Linked DNA regions of Macaca mulatta. The protein of the gene in region 1 purifies or fractionates together with the protein of each later gene. This does not show direct contact. Links are inferred from orthologs where the notes say so. Each region holds a gene or a part of one and is shown on either strand. Other genes may lie near its edges. The genes, in order: CD33 and PTPN6.

Evidence for each region.
Region 2: the proteins of CD33 (region 1) and PTPN6 purify together in Homo sapiens (co-immunoprecipitation; 4 studies listed by BioGRID and IntAct, with this or other methods). This does not show direct contact. The link is inferred for Macaca mulatta from reciprocal best matches to the Homo sapiens genes CD33 and PTPN6.

The regions. Positions count from the first base shown.
Region 1 is NC_133424.1:63,507,547-63,516,381, reverse strand, and holds the start of CD33 (myeloid cell surface antigen CD33), read right to left. Parts: upstream 8,281-8,835; 5' UTR 7,951-8,280; intron 7,790-7,950; 5' UTR 7,627-7,789; intron 6,758-7,626; 5' UTR 6,561-6,757; coding exon 6,528-6,560; intron 5,548-6,527; exon of another isoform or gene 5,414-5,547; coding exon 5,353-5,413; intron 5,291-5,352; coding exon 4,910-5,290; intron 4,701-4,909; coding exon 4,422-4,700; intron 4,196-4,421; coding exon 4,148-4,195; intron 652-4,147; coding exon 567-651; intron 226-566; coding exon 144-225; intron 1-143. UniProt on the Homo sapiens protein: Sialic-acid-binding immunoglobulin-like lectin (Siglec) that plays a role in mediating cell-cell interactions and in maintaining immune cells in a resting state.
Region 2 is NC_133416.1:7,925,133-7,933,967, reverse strand, and holds part of PTPN6 (tyrosine-protein phosphatase non-receptor type 6), read right to left. Parts: intron 8,780-8,835; coding exon 8,585-8,779; intron 5,986-8,584; coding exon 5,796-5,985; intron 5,641-5,795; coding exon 5,524-5,640; intron 5,420-5,523; coding exon 5,306-5,419; intron 5,131-5,305; coding exon 5,034-5,130; intron 4,527-5,033; coding exon 4,447-4,526; intron 4,251-4,446; coding exon 4,101-4,250; intron 3,015-4,100; coding exon 2,883-3,014; intron 2,751-2,882; coding exon 2,596-2,750; intron 752-2,595; coding exon 684-751; intron 592-683; coding exon 440-591; intron 344-439; coding exon 252-343; intron 1-251. UniProt on the Homo sapiens protein: Tyrosine phosphatase enzyme that plays important roles in controlling immune signaling pathways and fundamental physiological processes such as hematopoiesis.

The DNA.
Region 1 (8,835 bases):
CAAAACAAAAAAACTTACACTGTTAAACAGGAGGAAAGACAATAAGCTCAGTTCTGGAAATGCTGAATGGGGCATGACTGTGGGCCATGTTGGGAGGAGGTGTCTGCAGGGCATCCTGGATGCCAGCATGCCCCATCACTCACCGAGGATGTTGGCCCTGTGGCGGGGTGGGTGTCGATCCTGCCCACTGCTGTCCTGGCTGCTTTCCTCCTGTGAGTCTTCACTCTGATGGGAGACACCAGGGTCTTTGAGCCTGGTTTTCTCAGGCTGTGGGGCCATTGTTATGAGCCTGGAATGAGGGACTTTGGCAGGTAAGGGGTGGAATTAATCCAGGAGCCTTCAAACAAAACTTAGTAACAAGGTCTTCCTCTACCTCCCACTCCTTGGACATCTGAGACCAGGGCCCTAGCATAGACCCATGCCTAGCCCAGTGGCTACAGGCTAGATTCTGTAGATTACCACACCCCCTGCCCTTTCTCCAGCCCTCACAGCCCCTCCAGGACCCTTCTACACGAGGTCCATCCTCTCCACCTCTGGTCCACGCCTGACCCAGAGAAAATGCTCACGTGAAGAAGATGAGGCAGAGACAAAGAGCGAGCAGGACTGTGACACCAGCTCCCCCGATGGCTCCCTGAACCACTCCTTGTTTCCCTGCAGACAAAAAAGACATGGGGTGAACTCTAATCTGGATAAACAGGTATGTGTATCCTCCTCTCCAGCATGTAGAGAGGGATGACTTCACCTCCAAAATGGGGTTTGGCTCCTAGATCCTCCCATCCATCATAGACATGAATATTGACCATGACCGTGAGACGAAGTACACAGTACACCTGACACCTCTTGTCCCACCTTCTCTCTCCAGTGCACAAAACACCATCTCTCCTAGGACCCAGGTTCCTCTCCACCCTCGGTCTCTCTGAAATGAACCTCAGAAACGGCCACTGAAGGACTGTGAAGCTCTGAGCCTCTTGGATGACAGAGAGAGAGAGAGAGAAAGAGAGAGAGAGAGAGAGAGAGTAAGCACTGGAATGCTGATAGGCCTTGTCTCTTCTTTCTTCCCACTGGCCCCATCACTCAGGGTCAAAGGTGCTCCTTTTGGCCTTCAAAAGTGCCTGGAATCAGGGTGGGGCAGGGAGGTGGTTCTCAGACCTTCTTAGACCCAGATAGTTCTCCTGGACCTGCCTGGCTGTACCTTCTAGATCCCAACACTCAGAGTCAGGGGCGTTTCTCTGAGCATCATCTGTCAACAGTTTGATGACAACTACTGAGGGAACTATTCCTGCCCTCACTGGGTTCACTGTCCTCTGAGGGACCAGGCCATTATTAATTGGAATAAGGCAGTGGAGTGAGCACTTTGGACAGAGGTCAGGGGTAAGGGTTGAGGTATGGACAATAGAAAAAAAAAAAAAATGCCCTAAAGAGATTTTTGGGGAAGTGTGACTATTCTATATGATACTCTCATGGTGGATTCATGTCATCATACATTTTTTAGAAACCTGTAAAATGTACAACACCAACAGTGAACTTTAATGTAAACTATGGGCTTCAGGTGACAATGATATGTCAATGTAGGTTTATTGATTGTAACAAATGTACCATTTTGATGGGGGATGCTGATGGCCAGGGAAACTATGTGTAAGGGTAGAGGGCATATGGGAAGTCTTTGTACCTTCTGCTCAATTTTTTCATGAAAAATAAAGTTCATTTATAAATGCTCCCAAGATGTTCAGCGACTAGAAGATTCCACTCAATTTTGCTGTGAAACGAACACTACTCTGAAAAATAAAACCTATTAAAAAAATGCTCCCATTGGAGCAAAATGGCTGACCAGAGGTGCCTGGAACTCATCCTCCCCCATCCCCCCGGGCAGGAAAGGGCCAAGGCAATGAATAAACAGCAGAGATTTGAGTGGAGTGTCGAAGGCAGAGTACTGTAGTGCAGCAGGGGAGTGGAGAGTTACCTGTGGTAATTGGAAGCCCAGGAGGGCAGCATGGAGGCACCCAGACTTTGCAGCTCCCTCTCCCCAGCCCAGATTGGTTTGTCCCAGAGACAGGAAGGATTTCCCCTTGTAGGGAAATGAGAAGCAGAAGAATACAACCAACCCCCAGTGCCCACTGCAGATACCTACATTCCTTACTACAGGTTAATCCTGCAGTCCTCACAAGCTCTGAGCACCGTTGGAAGAGCTGCCAGGAATTCATGCAGCTGCATGGTTCTGGATTAGGAGCACACGGTGTGCACTCCCAACTCCCTAACCAGCCCCTGTGGGCAAGCTGCTGCGACACAGTACCATCTCGAGACCACAGCCGTCTCTGGAGTGTACCCTCCTCTGGGGGCCAGTGGCCACACACCTCTTCATCACTGTAACTCCATCTTCGTTCCACTAAGCCTGCAGTAATGGCTGAATACCACAATTAGAGCTGCATGGAGCCTGGGCCCAGGATTGGCTGGAACTCTGGTCCTGAACAGCAGAGAAACCAATCCCTGCTGCCTGTACTTCCAGCTGGAGGAAGAGTCTTATGGTCCCACTCAGTCTCTTCAATAAATGATGCTGGAAAAACTGGTGCCATATGCAGAAGAATGAAACTAGACTCACACCTCTCATCCTATGCAAAAATCAATTCAAAATGGATTGAAGACCTTAATGTAAGACACAAAAATATAAACATACTAGAAGAAAACATAGGGGAAATGCTGTAGGACATTGGTCTGGAAAAATATTCTATGAGTAAGACCTCGCAAGCACAAGTAACAAAAGCAAAAGCAAATAAACAAGATAATGTCAAGCTAAAAAGCTTCTATGCAGCAAAGGAAACAATCAACAGAGTGAAAAGGCAACCTACAGAATAGGAGAAAATATTTGTCAGCTATTCATCTGACAAATGATTCATATACACAATATACAAGGAACTCATGCATCTCAATGGCAAAGACACCCAATCTGATTTAAAAATGGGCAAATTATCTGAGTAGACATTTCTCTAGAGAAGATATACAGATGGCCAACAAATATATGAAAAATGCTCAGCATCACCAATCACCAGGGAAATGCAAATCAAAACCACAATGAAGTAACGTCACCCCAGTTGGGAGGACTATGATAAAAAAAAAGATGAAAATTAACAAATGATGGTGAGGATGTAGAGAAGAGGGAATTCTTAAATGCTTTTGACCAGAATGTAAACTAGTATAACCACTACTAGTATATGTAGTTTTTTTTCCTCAAAAATATACAAATAGAACTACCATATGATCCAGCAATCCCACTACTGGGCATTTATATAATGGAAAGGAAATCAGTATATTGAAGAAACGTCTGCACCTCTGTGTTTATTGCAGCAGTAACCACAATAGGAAGATATGAAATAAACCTAAGTGTCCAACAACAGATGAATAAATAAAGGAAATGTGGCATATATACACAATGGATTATCATTCAGCCATAAAAAATAATGAAATCTTGTTATTCACTATAACATAGATTGAACTAGAAGACATTATGTTAAATGAAATAAGCCAGGAACACAAAGTTAAATACCACATGTTCTTACTCATAAGTGGAAGCTAAAAAAAGTTGATTTCATGGAAGTAAAAAGTAGAACAGAGAATAATAAGGGCTGGGAAGGTTAGGGGAACAATGATAAGGAGAGAGATTTGTTAAAAGATACAAGATCACACTTGGAAAGGAAGAGTAAGTTCTGGTATTCTATACCACTGTGGGATGACTGTGGTTAAAAATAATAGATAGTTTCAAATAGCTAGAGAGGGGATATTGAATGTTTCCAACACAGTGAAATGATAAATGTTCAAAATGACGGATATGCTATTACCCTGATCTGATTACTATATGTTATTAGTATTGAAACATCACTATGCCATCCATAAATATGTACTATTATTATGTATCAATTAAAAATAAAATACCCCAAGACATTCAGTGACAGGAGGGAGACAAAGAGCATTATTTGGATGGGCAAGGAGGAAGTTGCTAGTCATCCCCAAATATCCTTATCCAAGGTGTCCGATGTCTACCTGTGTCTAACTGCAGGCCTTGCCTCTGAACATTTGACTCTGAAAGTCCAGATCTGACCAAACGTGACACAGACTCAACCCAGTAACAGCCTCAGGCAGGGAGGCGCCTTCCTACCTGAGCCGTCTCCTAGAAAGATATCAGTTCTTGGGTTCTGTGAAGCATCTAAGAGAGGAAGAGAGGATTTCCTTCAGTTGGGAGTAGAGATGCAATAAGGGTAGGCATTTCCCCTCACTCCTGCCAAAGCCACAGAAATGCAGAAGGGACAGGGCTCATGTCCTTCTAACTGCCGAACTCAGCCAGGTCCCCAGGACACGAAATGTCCCCAGCACCAGCCCATCCTGTCTCCCCTACGCACTCAGGGACCCGAGCATCCTGGCCCAGCACTCACAGGAGACATTAAGCTGGATGGTTCTCTCCGTGGTCACGCCAGCTCCAGGGAACTTCACCTGACAGGTGAGGTTGGTGCCGTGGTCCTGGGGCCGTGGGGTGATTATGAGCACCGAGGAGTGAGTGGTCCTGAGGCCCAGGGAGGTGGGGGCAGCTGACATCCAGGAGAAGATTGGAGGTGTTCCCTGCTCACAGGCCCAGGGCACAGAGCAGGTCAGGTTTTTGGAGTGGTCAGGGTCTAGGGCTCCAGGGATGAGGATTTGGGGCCTGTGGGTCAAGTCTAGTGAGAAGAAGCAGGGGGGGGGATGCAGAATCAAGAGGGAGCGTCCAGGTGAGGGCCTGAGAGAAGATCAACCTCTGGTCAAGCTCCCCTGCTAAGCATGACAGGCTTTACCCCTAAACCCCTCCCAGTACCAGGGTCCCATCCCAGCCCTGCCCTGTAGTACCCATGACCTTCCCTTGTGACCACTTCTGGAGCCTGTGCCTCACCTGTCACATGCACAGAGAGCTGGGTAGATTTGTAACTGTATTTGGTACTTCCTTTCTCCATCCGAAAGAAGTATGAACCGTTATCCCTCCTCCTGGCATCTACGATGCTCAGGGAGCAGTTGTTCCTACTGGGATCCCCAAGGAGGCGGAATCGGCCCTGGGTCTCCTCCCGTACTTCTTGATCTAGCTTGTTTGTGGCCACTGGAGAGTCCAAGGATACAATGGCTCCTTCCCGGAACCAGTAACCATGAACTGGGGAATTCCTGGTGTGGTAGGGTACGGGATGGAAGAAAGTGCAGGGCACAAGGACGCACAAACCCTCCTGTACTGTCACTGACTCCTGCACTTCCAGCCTGACTCTTGGATCCATAGCCAGGGCCCCTGTGGGGAAATGAGGGTCAGCTTGGCCCAGCCCGACAACCCCCCTCCCAGCAGTCACTCACCTGCCCACAGCAGGGGCAGCAGCAGCAGCGGCATGTCTGAGGCTGAGGTTTCCTGGGCTCCCTGTGTGAGCAGAGAACAGGAAAGGAGTGGAGGAGAAGGGCTAGGGGGCCGGATAGGAAGCTGGGGAGGAGCAGGAGACCTCAGCCCTGCATGGAAGAGGAACCTCAGACCCACACGTGCTCAGAGCTTGTCCCTTCCACACAGATTGAACCTCATGGGCCAGAGATGCCAGAGATCCGCCCAGAGAGGGGAGGAGATGGAGCAGAATCTGAGTCTTGCCTCCCAGGAGCACCGGAGCCTGGACCAGTACCTCCGGGGCCATCTGAGACATGCAAACCCCATGTCTAAAATCCTTCCACTCTGAGGTACTTTTCTGTGAACAACTGTTTGCATGGGGGCTGGTCACTGCTGGCCTGGCCCGAGTCACAGGCTCGCCTAGATCCATGGGGTGATTTGTCCAGCAGGATATAGGATTCTATAGGGTCTGTGTGAGTGTCTGGGGCAGAGAAACAAAGAAGAGTCCTAGGTAAAGTGAAGGTGGCAGCCATTCACTAAAGACATAGTGAGTGACAGAGCAGGACCACTGTCATCTCGGACAAACACCGCCACTTTAAGTTCCAACTCCCTTTCTAGCCTCATGCATTTCAAGGAAATCACTTCTCTGCTAACTACCAGCAGCCAGAAAGAGCAGACCGGTGAAACACGGATAAGACAGCTCAGGCACAGAGGGAGGTTGGGGGGAAAGTCTCTTGAGTTATTGCCAAACTTCACTCTCATCCAATGGGCCCTAGTAAAACAGTGGGCCTTAATAAGCACATTCCTTTGCCTTCAGGTGCACTAAGTTGGAAAGCTAAATGCAGACTCAGTGGGTATGCCTGCAGCTGCAAAAAGATGTATGGGAACAGATACACAACTCTCCCTCCCAGATAAGCACAACAAAGAGACACAGAAGCAGTCCAAGCCTCTGATAAACCCTCCCACCCTAAATCCTTAAAAACTCTTAGTCTGTAAGAGAGTGTGCCTCTACCTAACTCAGCCAGAAACTCCTCTCAGGTTTGTTTTCTCTAAAACCTGTCTTGACTGGCGAGCCACCATACATGTTTCTTTCTTCTTTCTTTAATTCTTACATTGAGCCTTTGTGTGTAGGTGGGGCTTGAGAAGAGATGCCACTGACCTGATTCCTGCCCTTGAGATGTTCCCCATCCATAGCCTCATGTCCTCACCACACACACACATATACTGTCTGGATTTAGAGCTGTGAAAAATTGGGAATTTGCCATGTGTCATGGGAGCATATTGGAAAATTTGAAAGAAATTTGACTATAGAATTTTCCCCTGGCAGCTAGTACACTGCTTTGCACAGTGTCGATGACATCTCCAAAATAAGAACTATGCAGCATCTTCCTGTAAAACAAAAGGGAGAACACATGTTCGTTCTATGAACCAGTGCAGAAAAAAACTTTTTTGTGTTCATGCTGCTATTTGGTTCAGTATGGGCAGAAGCAAGTTTTTTTAGAGGCTCATGATATGGATCAACATTTTCATGTAAAAATCTGCTTCTCACAGTTAAATATGGCCCAAAGACATAATATTTCCAGACAACATGAGTGGAATGTACAGAGAAAATTAAACTTTAGGTCCAGCTACGTGGTTGTCCATATCACTCTGTGTAGTATGCATCCAGCAACCCTTGATCCCTGGGACATATTAGTACTTGCCACCTTACCTTTGTCAAATCTCTACACACAATAGTATCTAGATAACTCTTAATTCGTCCTTACTAATAGAGAGGTAGAATCCTCATTTGATATACAACAAATTAAGTCTCCAGTAAATAATATCTGTTGTAAGTTATTTAGCATGCGGCACATAATGGAAAATTCAGTACATTTAGTGCTTTTTTTTTTTTTTTTTAAGACAGGGTCTTGCTCTGTTGCCCAGGCTGGAGTGCACTGGCATGATCACAGCTCACTGCAGCCTTGACCTCCCAGGCTCAAGTGACTCTCCCAGCTCATCCTCCCTAGTAGCTGGGACCACAGGCTCATACTACCAGGCTGGAGTAATTTTTTGTTTTTATTTTTAGGAGAGATGGGGTCTTGCTATGTTCCCCAGGCTGGTCTTGAACTGCTGGGTTCAAACAATCCTCCCACCTTGGCCTCCAAAGTGCTTTGACTATGGGCGTGAGGCACTGTGCCCAGTCACATTTAGTTTTAACAATAAAGTCATACTATGTTCATGGACCAGAAGATCAAATATGAATATGTGAGTCTTACTGTGTTTCTTTAATGAATTTAATGAAGGCCCGAGAACCAAGAGCAGATGGATTTCCCAGCTCCAGAAGAAGGAGCAAGCTCATGCTTCCCTCTAGCTCTTTCCTTCTACGATTCTGTCATCTGATCCTTGGCCCCAGCAGAGTCCCCGCTCCCTGGCTGGAGCCTGAAAGAGAGAGAGAGAGGATGGGGAGGAGGGACCTCTCCTGGGCCCTGTCTCCAACATCCTCCATCCCCACATAACAGCACATCTAAGAATAAAGCGCATGCTCAGTGCAGGTCTACACGAATGAATGCTTTAATAAATGGTGGGGGCTGTTTCCCTACCTTCTTCCTAATTCACACTGCAAAGCTGCCCCTGATGAGGCGTCCCTCGTCCATCTTTTTCTTACGGATGCGTCTGCTTCCTGCGGCAACCTCTGCCGAGGCTCCCACGTATGTCTGTTTCTCTCACTTTTCAGGAGCTCTGAGCGGCCTGTATGTGTGCATCCGTGCTGGCTTATACCAGGTAGAGCCGCAGTCTATTCTCTTCTGCAGACGGAAGAGCAACGTGTGTTTGATTTGAATGCAGGAAGTACGTTTGCTCCCATGTGCTGAAAGATTTTGTGGTAAAACTTCCCTGTAGTGTGGCGCCAAGGGAAGCCCTCTTCTCTCTCTGCAGCAGTTCGTGGGATGACTTTTTTGTTTTTACCAACCTCCCATCCAATACGGAGCAAGCCACGGGAGAACCTCCTGTGATCCTCAACACACGAGAAGTGAATGAGCGAGTACGTCCTCCACCGTCGGGACCAACTTTTACGGGGATTTGTAGAGGCTGTAATTCACAGTATGGCCACCAGAGGGCAGTCATAACCCTTCACTTTCCAGTCCTTTCACACCAAAGACACATCAGGTCAAACGTCATGTGAGACTTGTGCAAACAGCTGGAAATAGTTTTTTTTTAATTGGAGAACGCTGTTAGTGAGCCTTTAGTATTAATTAATTATTAATTTATTATTAACTGTTCTAAATCCTTTACCTACAATAGATCTTTTGAACCTTATGAGAATATGAGAGACAAAAAACACATCACCCCAAGATATGGCTGTAGGAGACCAAAATATGCCACCCCAAGATGTGCCTTTTTGGCATAAAGATTATTTCAAGAGCCTGTAGACACAGGAGACGCTCTGAGAACCAGGGAAGAAGTTCCCTTTTTTATTTTTATTTTTT
Region 2 (8,835 bases), on another chromosome or scaffold:
TCCCCGCACTAGACTCCAAGCTCCTAGAGGACAGAGGCTACATCTCATACAGGAGTGCACGGCTGGTACCTAGCAGAGGCCCACACGTGGTGGGCACTCGGGAAATGCTTATGAATAGAAAGGGTGAGACCCAAGCCTGAACTTGAAGCCAGGCCCCCCCAGTTGTGACACTTGTCCTCTCCAGAAAGTGAGGATCGGGTTGGGCAGGACAAAGGGGTGGATGCCGGGCAGTGGCAGTCAGGGCCACTCACTTGGACGAGGTGCGGGAGGCCTTGGCATGGGCGTTCTTCATGGCTGGGGGGTAGGTGATGTTCCCATACTCCGACTCCTGGCCCTTCTGCGACTATGGACAGAGGGATGGTGGGAGGGTGGTGGTCCCAGCACGGCTAGGTGGCGCCTGCCCCGCACTGCAGCCCCCCAGGCCCTGCTCTGCACACACCTGCAGGACCTCCAGCTTCTTCTTGGTGGTTTCAATGAACTGGGCAATGGCCACGTAGATGAACTTGTACTGCGCCTCTGTCTGCACCATGCCTGAGCGCTGCGCCCGCACCATCTGGATGGTCTTCTGGATGTCAATGTCACAGTCCAAGCCTGGGTGGGGGGCAGTCAAACCTCAGGTCCAGGCATAGGCAGACACCGAGAGGCTGCTCAGCCCCACTCCCAAGCCCCCAGGTGCCCCTCACCCTTGGTGGAGATGTTCTCCATGAGCATGTCGATGACAATGATGGTGCCCGTGCGGCCAATGCCGGCGCTGGGGAAAGACGGGGGTACGGTCAGAGGCCAGTCAAGCCCTCCCGGGAAGGGGGGTACCCAGTGCTCAGCTCCAGCCCCAGGCACCACAGGAGCAGCCTGAGCCTCCAGTGATGGGAGGGAATGTGCCCAGGGTCACCGGGCAAGTGACGACGGACGTTTGCCCAGCTCTGCATGGGCGCGCTCCACTCTGGCTCTGTGGTGTTGACGCCGTCTCCCCGGCTGCCACCATCCTTCCCTCCTCCACTCCTCGCGCCGACTCCCCACTCCTGGTGAGTGGCTGCCCCCACCCCGGAAGACCTGGGACCCCCAAATCCCACCACTATCCTGTCGGCTCCCAGGTACCCTGAGCCCTCCCCGCCTCTCCCTGCAGGAGATCTGGTGCGTCTCTCAGCACGGTTCACTTCGTTTTTCTTCAAACCCTGACATCAGGAAAAGGACACCCCTGAGACAGCAGGGTGCAGGCGCGCCGGGTCAGGGCGCTCGGAGGAGCAGGGCCGTAGGAAGCTTCTCTTCTTTCCCACCCCTGGGCAAACAGACGCCAGGGAGACCCCAGGCCCACCCTCGGCTGGGCCCATCAGGCTGATGCCCTGAGTCGCACTGTCTAATTTCAAACCCAGATTGTCAAAAATAACCCCCCACACCCACTTCCTTCCTGTAACGTCTAAATAAAGGCCACGGGGCTTCCAAGAAGTGTGTGATGTGTGTGTGGCGGGTGAGCAGGAGGGTAGCTCTCGGGGATGGGCCTGTCTCTGAGAGAGCAGAGGACAGAGCCGGGTCCCCGAGACAGCCCATCGGGGGCACCTCTAGATTCAGCTGACTTGTCCCAGGACAAACAGCTGCTGGGGGAAGAGGAGGAAGCCAGAGACTGTCGCAGGCCTGGGGTCCACGGTGGGAGTGGGAAGGGACCAGAGCAAGGCAGGTTCTCATTTCCCCCATTCTCTGCCTGACGTGAGTTACTAAACCAGTAACAGCGCCCCGTGTTTGAGGGCTGACGGAATTCCAGCCGCAACGACAGGGTCTCATTGAGTTCTCACTACAACCCTGAGGTCCTGATTTTACAGAGGAGGAAGCTGAGGGTTAGAAAAGTTAAGTAATTTGTCCAAGATCACGCAGCTGGTAAGCGGAGGGGCCCTGCACCCGCTGCCTCTCATCCACCCAGGCCAGGCGGGCTCAGTGGGCTCATCTGTGGGACCCCTGCTCCTCCTTGAGGCCCCCACCTCTGCACCTTACCAGGGTCTCCTGATCACAAACATGAGGGTAGATAGAGGAGCTATGTGCACCCCCAAAAAGGCATTGTCCATCCCCACACAGCCCTGGGGGCCAGGATGGGGCGCCGCCTGGGGAAGCTGGGAGAGAGGGCGGAGTCAGGAACAAGCCAAAGCCCTGGGTCTACCGATGGAAAAAGAGGAGGAACGGGGAGCACAAGCCCCATGGATGTTCCTGGGAGGCGAGAAGAAACCAACGGAGTGAGACCTGGAGAGAAAGCGGAGCAGCCAGGACCCAGGCCTACTGTGGGTGCCTGCCCGGCCTTGCCCTGCCTAGCTTGGGCCTGGCCAGCAACTGGGTCCCAGGTTCCTCCTCTGTATTTGGCAGGGTTGGGCGAGATGGTACATCTGGGGAGGGCTCTGAGGAAGACAACCACAGGCAGAGGGCCAAAGTGGGGCTGGTTCCAGCCACGTTCCACCCAGGGGTCTGGAGCCATGAGGGGACCCAGAAGAAGCTGGGAGTGAGCGGAAGGCACTAATCGTGTGAGCTAACGTGTATGTTGCTTATAACGCTCATGGCACTTAGCAGTATTTACTTCTCAGCGGCCACTACTACCATCAGGATTATCATCCTCACCTGCAGTGCACGATGATGGGCCCTGCATGAGGCAGACTTTCCTGCCGCTGGTTGATCTGGTCCAGGAAGCTGAGGACACCCCCAGGCTCACTGGGGACCCCATGGTCGGGCCAGCTCAGGTACTGGTAATGCCAGATCTCCCGAATGAGGTCCCCCTGGGCCGAGGACACAGGGTCAGTGCCCCCTGCTCCCTCGGAACACCCCACCTGTCTCGCCCTACCCCACCAGAGAGGAGAACAAGTCCGGGAGGGACTCCCGGAGCAGGGCAGGGAGTGGGGGCCGCTCACATTGTCCAGTGGGGAGACGTGTAAGGTGCGGAGTTTGTATTCGGTCGTGTCATGCTCCCCGCAGTTGGTCACAGAGTAGGGCCCATAAACGCGCTGAGTGCCCACCTCGGGCCAGTATGGGACACATTTGTTCTGGAAAGGGAGGGTCGGGTGGGGATGAGGCACAGAGCAGGGCGCTGTGGCCCATCCCAGGTCCCGCTCTAGGTTCTGAGTGCCTGGCACCGGCCCAAACGTTTGTTGGATGGATAGATGAGCTGGCAGAGAGGCAGGAGACCTGGGCTCTCGTCTCAGATCAGCCACCAACAGGTGGTGCGACCTGGCCAGCCGCTTTACTGGTACATCCATTTGTCATTCAACAAACATTGCCGAGGCAGGCGTTGTCCCCGAAGCCGTGCAAACCAGGCTGTAGTCACAGACACAGCTAACACCCAGTCTGTGCCCCTGTGCCTGGAGGAGCTCACAGAGACAAGTGACCGGGGAGACGCCGCGCTGAGGAGCGTGGCTGGGAACGAGGAAACTCGCCCTCTAGGTCCTGGAGAAAACAAGACCTGAATTCACAGAGAAGGCAGCGCTTCAGCTGTGTCTTCAAACACGAGGCATCTGCCGGGCGGAGACAGTGTGGAGACAGAGTCATTTCCTAGCAGAAAAGAGCTTGTGCAAAGAAAGGCTGGGAACCTGAAAGAGCCGCGGCTGCTGGAAGCGGTGAGCCTTCAAGAGAAGCGTGGGAGTCAGAGGGAAACCACCAGGCCTTGAACGCCAGGCCTTCGAGTGTGACTTTATCCCAAAGGTGACCAGGAGCCATGGAAGAGATTTCAGAGGGGAAGGAACTCGACCCAGTTTGTCACGGATGGCATCACTTCAACGGCAGCACAGAGGGTGCTGTGTAAGGGGAGGCTGCAGAGTGAGGGGCAGACTCCACAGACATCTATGGGGCAGGGAGGACAGGAGGGGCCTGGATGCAGACAGGTGGGGAAGGTGTAGGAGGAAGGAGGACAGCCTAAAACCTGGGTCTGGAGCTCAGAAGAGCCCAGGGGTGCATGCAGGGATCTGGGGGTTGCATCGTGTAGTCGAGACTTTGTCACTAGCCCTCAGTTTCCCAACAAGGCTGGACCCTCACCCCCGAGATCCCTTTCTGCTCTGGCATCTGACGGTTCTTTGACTTAATGGTATGACCACAAGGACGGGGCAAGGATGTGGGGATGGGGCGGGGTGCCCTACCCGGCCTTTCTCCACCTCTCGGGTGGTCATGACGATGACGCGGGTGTTCTCCTGCCACGCCATCTGCCAGAAGTCGTTGACCGTGGCCTCTAGACAGCCCTGGCTGGCGATGTAGGTCTTAGTGTTCTCATCAGGGCCTAGCAGCTGGTTCTGGACACAAGCGTGGAGAGACGCACCCCAAAACAGTGAGCCCCTCAGCCCAGCACAGGGCCTGAACCACTGCTCCCCTCACCCATGCAAGAAGCCAGCTTTGGCTTTGCCCAGGTGTCTCTGGATCTAGGGTCCCCCACCAGACAGGGAATTCCCAGGGCCCAGCCTCTCCTCCCACATGACCCACACCACTGACCTTGATGTAGTTGGCATTGATATAGTCGGACCCCGGGATGTTACTGTCACGTCCCTGTAGGATCACTCGGCTGTGGTCAACTGGGAGTGGGTGGAGAGGAGGCGAGATGGCCTGGGTCAGCCAGGGACTCACCACACCTGCGTCAGACCCTCCTGAGCTAACAGGCCGTTCTGGTCTCAGAAGCCATGAGGCTTGCGGGGGACTGTGGGCAGCAGGGGTGGGGGATCATCTGTACGGAGGGAGTGAGGGGATTCACAAGAAGGAGGTTGGGAGCAAGGGGCAGCCTGCCTGCTGATGGTGGGGAGGCACTTCTGGGAGGAGTAGAGGCCTTTTGGAGAAGGGGTGTGGGGAGGTGGCCCCTCCTGGAGTGGAGGGTGGAGACCTGTGAGATAGGGGCGGCGGCTGGAGCGGGGCGGTCTCCTGGGTGGGTGAATGGGGCAGGGGTGGCGGCTGGGGCGGGGCAGTCTCCTGGGTGAATGGGGCAGGGGCAGCGGCTGCAGCAGGGGAGGTCTCCTGGGTGAATGGGGCAGGGGCAGTGGCTGGGGTGGGGCGGTCTCCTGGGTGAATGGGGCAGGCTGGGTGCTCACAGGGCAGAATGTTCTTATAGCGGTTCTTGCCCTTGTTCTCTGGCCGCTGCCCTTCCAGACGCTGGTGCAAGTTCTTCACCTCCTGCTTCTGCAAACTCTGAGATGTGGGTGAGGAAATGAGCATCACCTCCCAGAGAGAGCACCCATCAGGGGAGCTCACGTGGGGTGGGTCAGGAGCAGAGGTGGGCAAGGGGAGGAAGGTGTCCGCCTGGGGCCCCACGCGGCCGCCACCGCCTCAGCTGCCCCAGCCCTGCCAGTTCCCCACCATGCACCTCAAACTCCTCCCAGAAGCCAGCCTTGGCTGTATCCTCGGACTCCTTCTTCTTGTTCAGTTCCAAGACTCGGTTCTCAATGTCAGCCGCATTCACCCTCGTGGCGTAGTACGGCTGGGATAGGGGAGAGCGAGAAGTCAGCAACTCAGAGGTCTCAGAAGCTCACACCTGGGGGACAGCTCAGGGGAAGGGAGGAAGCAGCTGGGTCCCCGCCTGACCTGCCGCAGGTAGACAAAGGCACCTGAGGCCTCCTCAATCCCCGTCTTCTTGAAGTGCTCCACCAGGTCCGTGAGGCTGTCGAAGGTCTCTGAACCACCCACTGTGTAGCGTCCACCCTGGAGGGAGCCAAATAAGGCCACTCACAGGGCTCGAGTCTCCCTCCCTGAGCCCCAGCCTTGAATTCAAGCCCAGGCAGACCCTCCCTGCCACCCACACTGCGGTCACAGACAGGAGCCTCAGCAGAGGCTCCCCCACCACCTGGCTGCCTTACCTCACACATGACCTTGATGTGGGTGACCCTGAGCGGGGAGCCTGGGCCAGCCTTGGGCTGGTCACTAAGCACAGATAGCACAAAATCTCCAGGCTGGCTGAGGCTCTCACGCACAAGAAATGTCCAGGGCTCGCCCTTGGCCTGCAGCAGCGTCTCTGCCTGCCCTCCAGACATGTGGCCATGGTACCACCTACAGAAGGCAGCGTCAGGGAAGGTGAGACCCAGGCCACAGGGGAAGGTGCTGAGCAAAGATATTCACAGAGAGGGGCAGGAAATCAAGCACCTACTGTGGCCAGGCACTGCGCTAGATGGTTCCAAATCCACCATCGTATTGATGCCTCTCACAAACATGCTGAGGGCTGGGTATGATATTACCCCCATTTTATAGATGAGGAAACTGACGCTGAGCTGTTACTCACTGGCCTAGGGCCCCTGATGGACTCCAAGGCAAGCCTCCCGAGCTCTGTTGCCCAGGCTGGAGTGCAGGGGCACGGTTATTGCTCTCTGCAGCCTTGACCTCCCAGGCTCAAGCTATCTTAGCCCCCAGAATTCTGACCAGGCTTTGAACCCAGAGACCACCTCTGAAAGGCAGAAGGGCTGGCAATATTCCAAATATTTGGAAGAGGGAAACTAAGGAAGAGTCTCCATGAAGGATCAGGCTGTGCCCCGGCAGAGACCAGAGGCAAAGAGAAACACAGACCAAGGCCACACCACAGGGAGTGGCGGGAGATGGACAGAGAGACACAAGTCACAAGGAAGGCCAATGGGGTGCGCTCCCCCAGGGAGGCGGGGAGGACAACCCCACTGGGGAAAGAGTGGTGTAGGGGGCTCTGGGGTGCCCTGGATGATGTCACTGAAGGGGAGCCCAGGGTTCAAAAGGGTTCAAAGGGATTCAAAGGGGCTGTCGGGGCAGAAAGCAGAACTAAGCCCTTTCCCCAAAGCACACCCCTTTCCCAGGAGGAAACTGTAGCCCCACAATGCCCTGCCCCACAGGAAACCACGTGATGGAAAAAACACAAAACTCCTTCTGGGGAGAGAGTGAGAAGTGAGGTTGTGAGGTTTCCTCAGCCCAGGGACAAGGGGAGGGCGGGCAAATTTTCCAACCGCAGGGATGGGGGGAAGAGGGGAGGACCAGTCTGTCCCAACCCATCTCACCCCTGCCCAGAGGTGACTCCAGCTGAGAGACCCCCCAGAGCCTCCATACCCCATTAGGCCACTTCAGCCCACCACCTGGGGACAGGCTAGGACCCCAGGCAGCAGGGAGGGGGCTGAGCCCCTTCCCTTGGGCCCCAGGATGAGGAAGTCTCCATGCAAATGTCAGGCTGACCACAGGAAGCGCAGAGCCACCGAGGGACAGATGCAAATTCCCGCAGAGAAGGAGGTGCCACAGACAAGGCAGGGGACACAGCAGAACCTGGGAGAAAGTCTCTCACACACTCCCAGGTTCGGGGGTGACACTGGCTCCTGGGATGGGTCACCCAAAAGGGCCTTCTGTGTGGCTTCCCCGGTCTTAACCTCCTGCCCCAGCACTGCCCTCCCTTCCTTCTCTCTCTTCTCTTTGAACCCAGGCCTCAGCCTCCTCTGCAGGGGCCTCCTGGGGCCCTGCTCCTCTCTTCCAACTCTAGGCACTGGTCAGCCCGTCCTCCTCCTCCTAGCTTGAGGCAAGGAGAAACAGAGGACATGAGCTTTAGAGGGTCTCGCTGGCAGAAGCCCCCTGAGTGTTGCAGTGGGGAAGAGGAAGGGCAGGGGGCAGACATAGAGCCAGCCATGTGAGGCTCAGATGAGGAAGGCCTTGAAGGAGGCAGATCCAGGAAAGGAGGCCTCCCAGGTGGGCCACAGGGCTGTACCGCGACCGAATCCAGCTCTAAGTTTCAATCAGTGACCTGACCAAAAATATTGAGGCAGTTTGGAGGCCCGAATCTAAGAAAGGCTGCAAGCTGGCAGAAGCAAGTTTCCCAATCATTTCAACAATCGATCCACGAATGCAGGGCAAGGGCAAGTCGGCTTGGCCCAGGGGTCCGTGTGAAAACCCCCTAGCGTTATTCCGCTGCCCTTTAAGAGGATCTGGCATTGAGATGTGGCTGCTGGAAGGAGCTATGGTGTCCTGAGGAGTGTTCAAAGCTCCCCAGCCCCCCATCCATGCCTTTGGAAGACCACAGGAGGAGTCGAGGAGGGCACAGGAAGGAAATGCCTGGAGTATTATTCTGTGCCTGAGACAGTGTGAGACCCTTTACACAGGTGAACACTTCACATCCTGCTTTCAGTGATCTCTGTATTTGACCCCACAGGACAGACCCATCCCCACTGGGCGGCTGGGACAAGGTGTCAAGCGTCCTGGCAACCGTTCATCCCCATCCTCATCCGCAGTGTCAGCTCCTCACTGTCCTGACATGCACTGGGGTGAGAGGCAGACGGAGGAGGGCAGGCTGGCTTCCAGAGGAAGAAGAGCTTTCTAACAACAGAGCTGGCCGGCACGATATGCTGGCCACCAGCAGTGGCCTCCCTGTGTCTAGTGGGACCTGGGCTGCAGCGGCCAGGGCCCCTGGTATAGGGCAAGGCAGCTTTCTTTGGCTTCCTCGGGGTTAGGTGGAAAGGGTGGTAGGTTAGGCTCTGAGACACCAGGCCACAGGACAGCATGAAGGAGGGACACTGAGAGCCCCAGCCGGTGCGGGGAGGGGAGGGGATGGAGGGCAGGCAGTGCCGGGTGCCAGGCTCCCTGTCTCCCTGGCCGCTCAGGGCGGGAGCCGACTCACCCCTGCTTGCGAGTGGCGGGGGTACAGAGGCCTCACCTCTCACTGGTGGGATCGGAGCAGTTCAGCGGGTACTTGAGGTGGATGATGGTGCCGTCGCGGTCTTGCAGGACGCCCTGCTGCTGAGTGTAGTACTCCACCAGCTCTGTCAGCGTCGCGAACTTCTCCCCTCCATACAGGTCATAGAAATCCCCTGAGTTCTGGATCCGAATATGGGTCACCTGATCCCCCACCCTGCAGGGCACCAGGCGGTGAGGCCAGTCGGTGCAGGAGTAAAGCAGGAGGGCAGG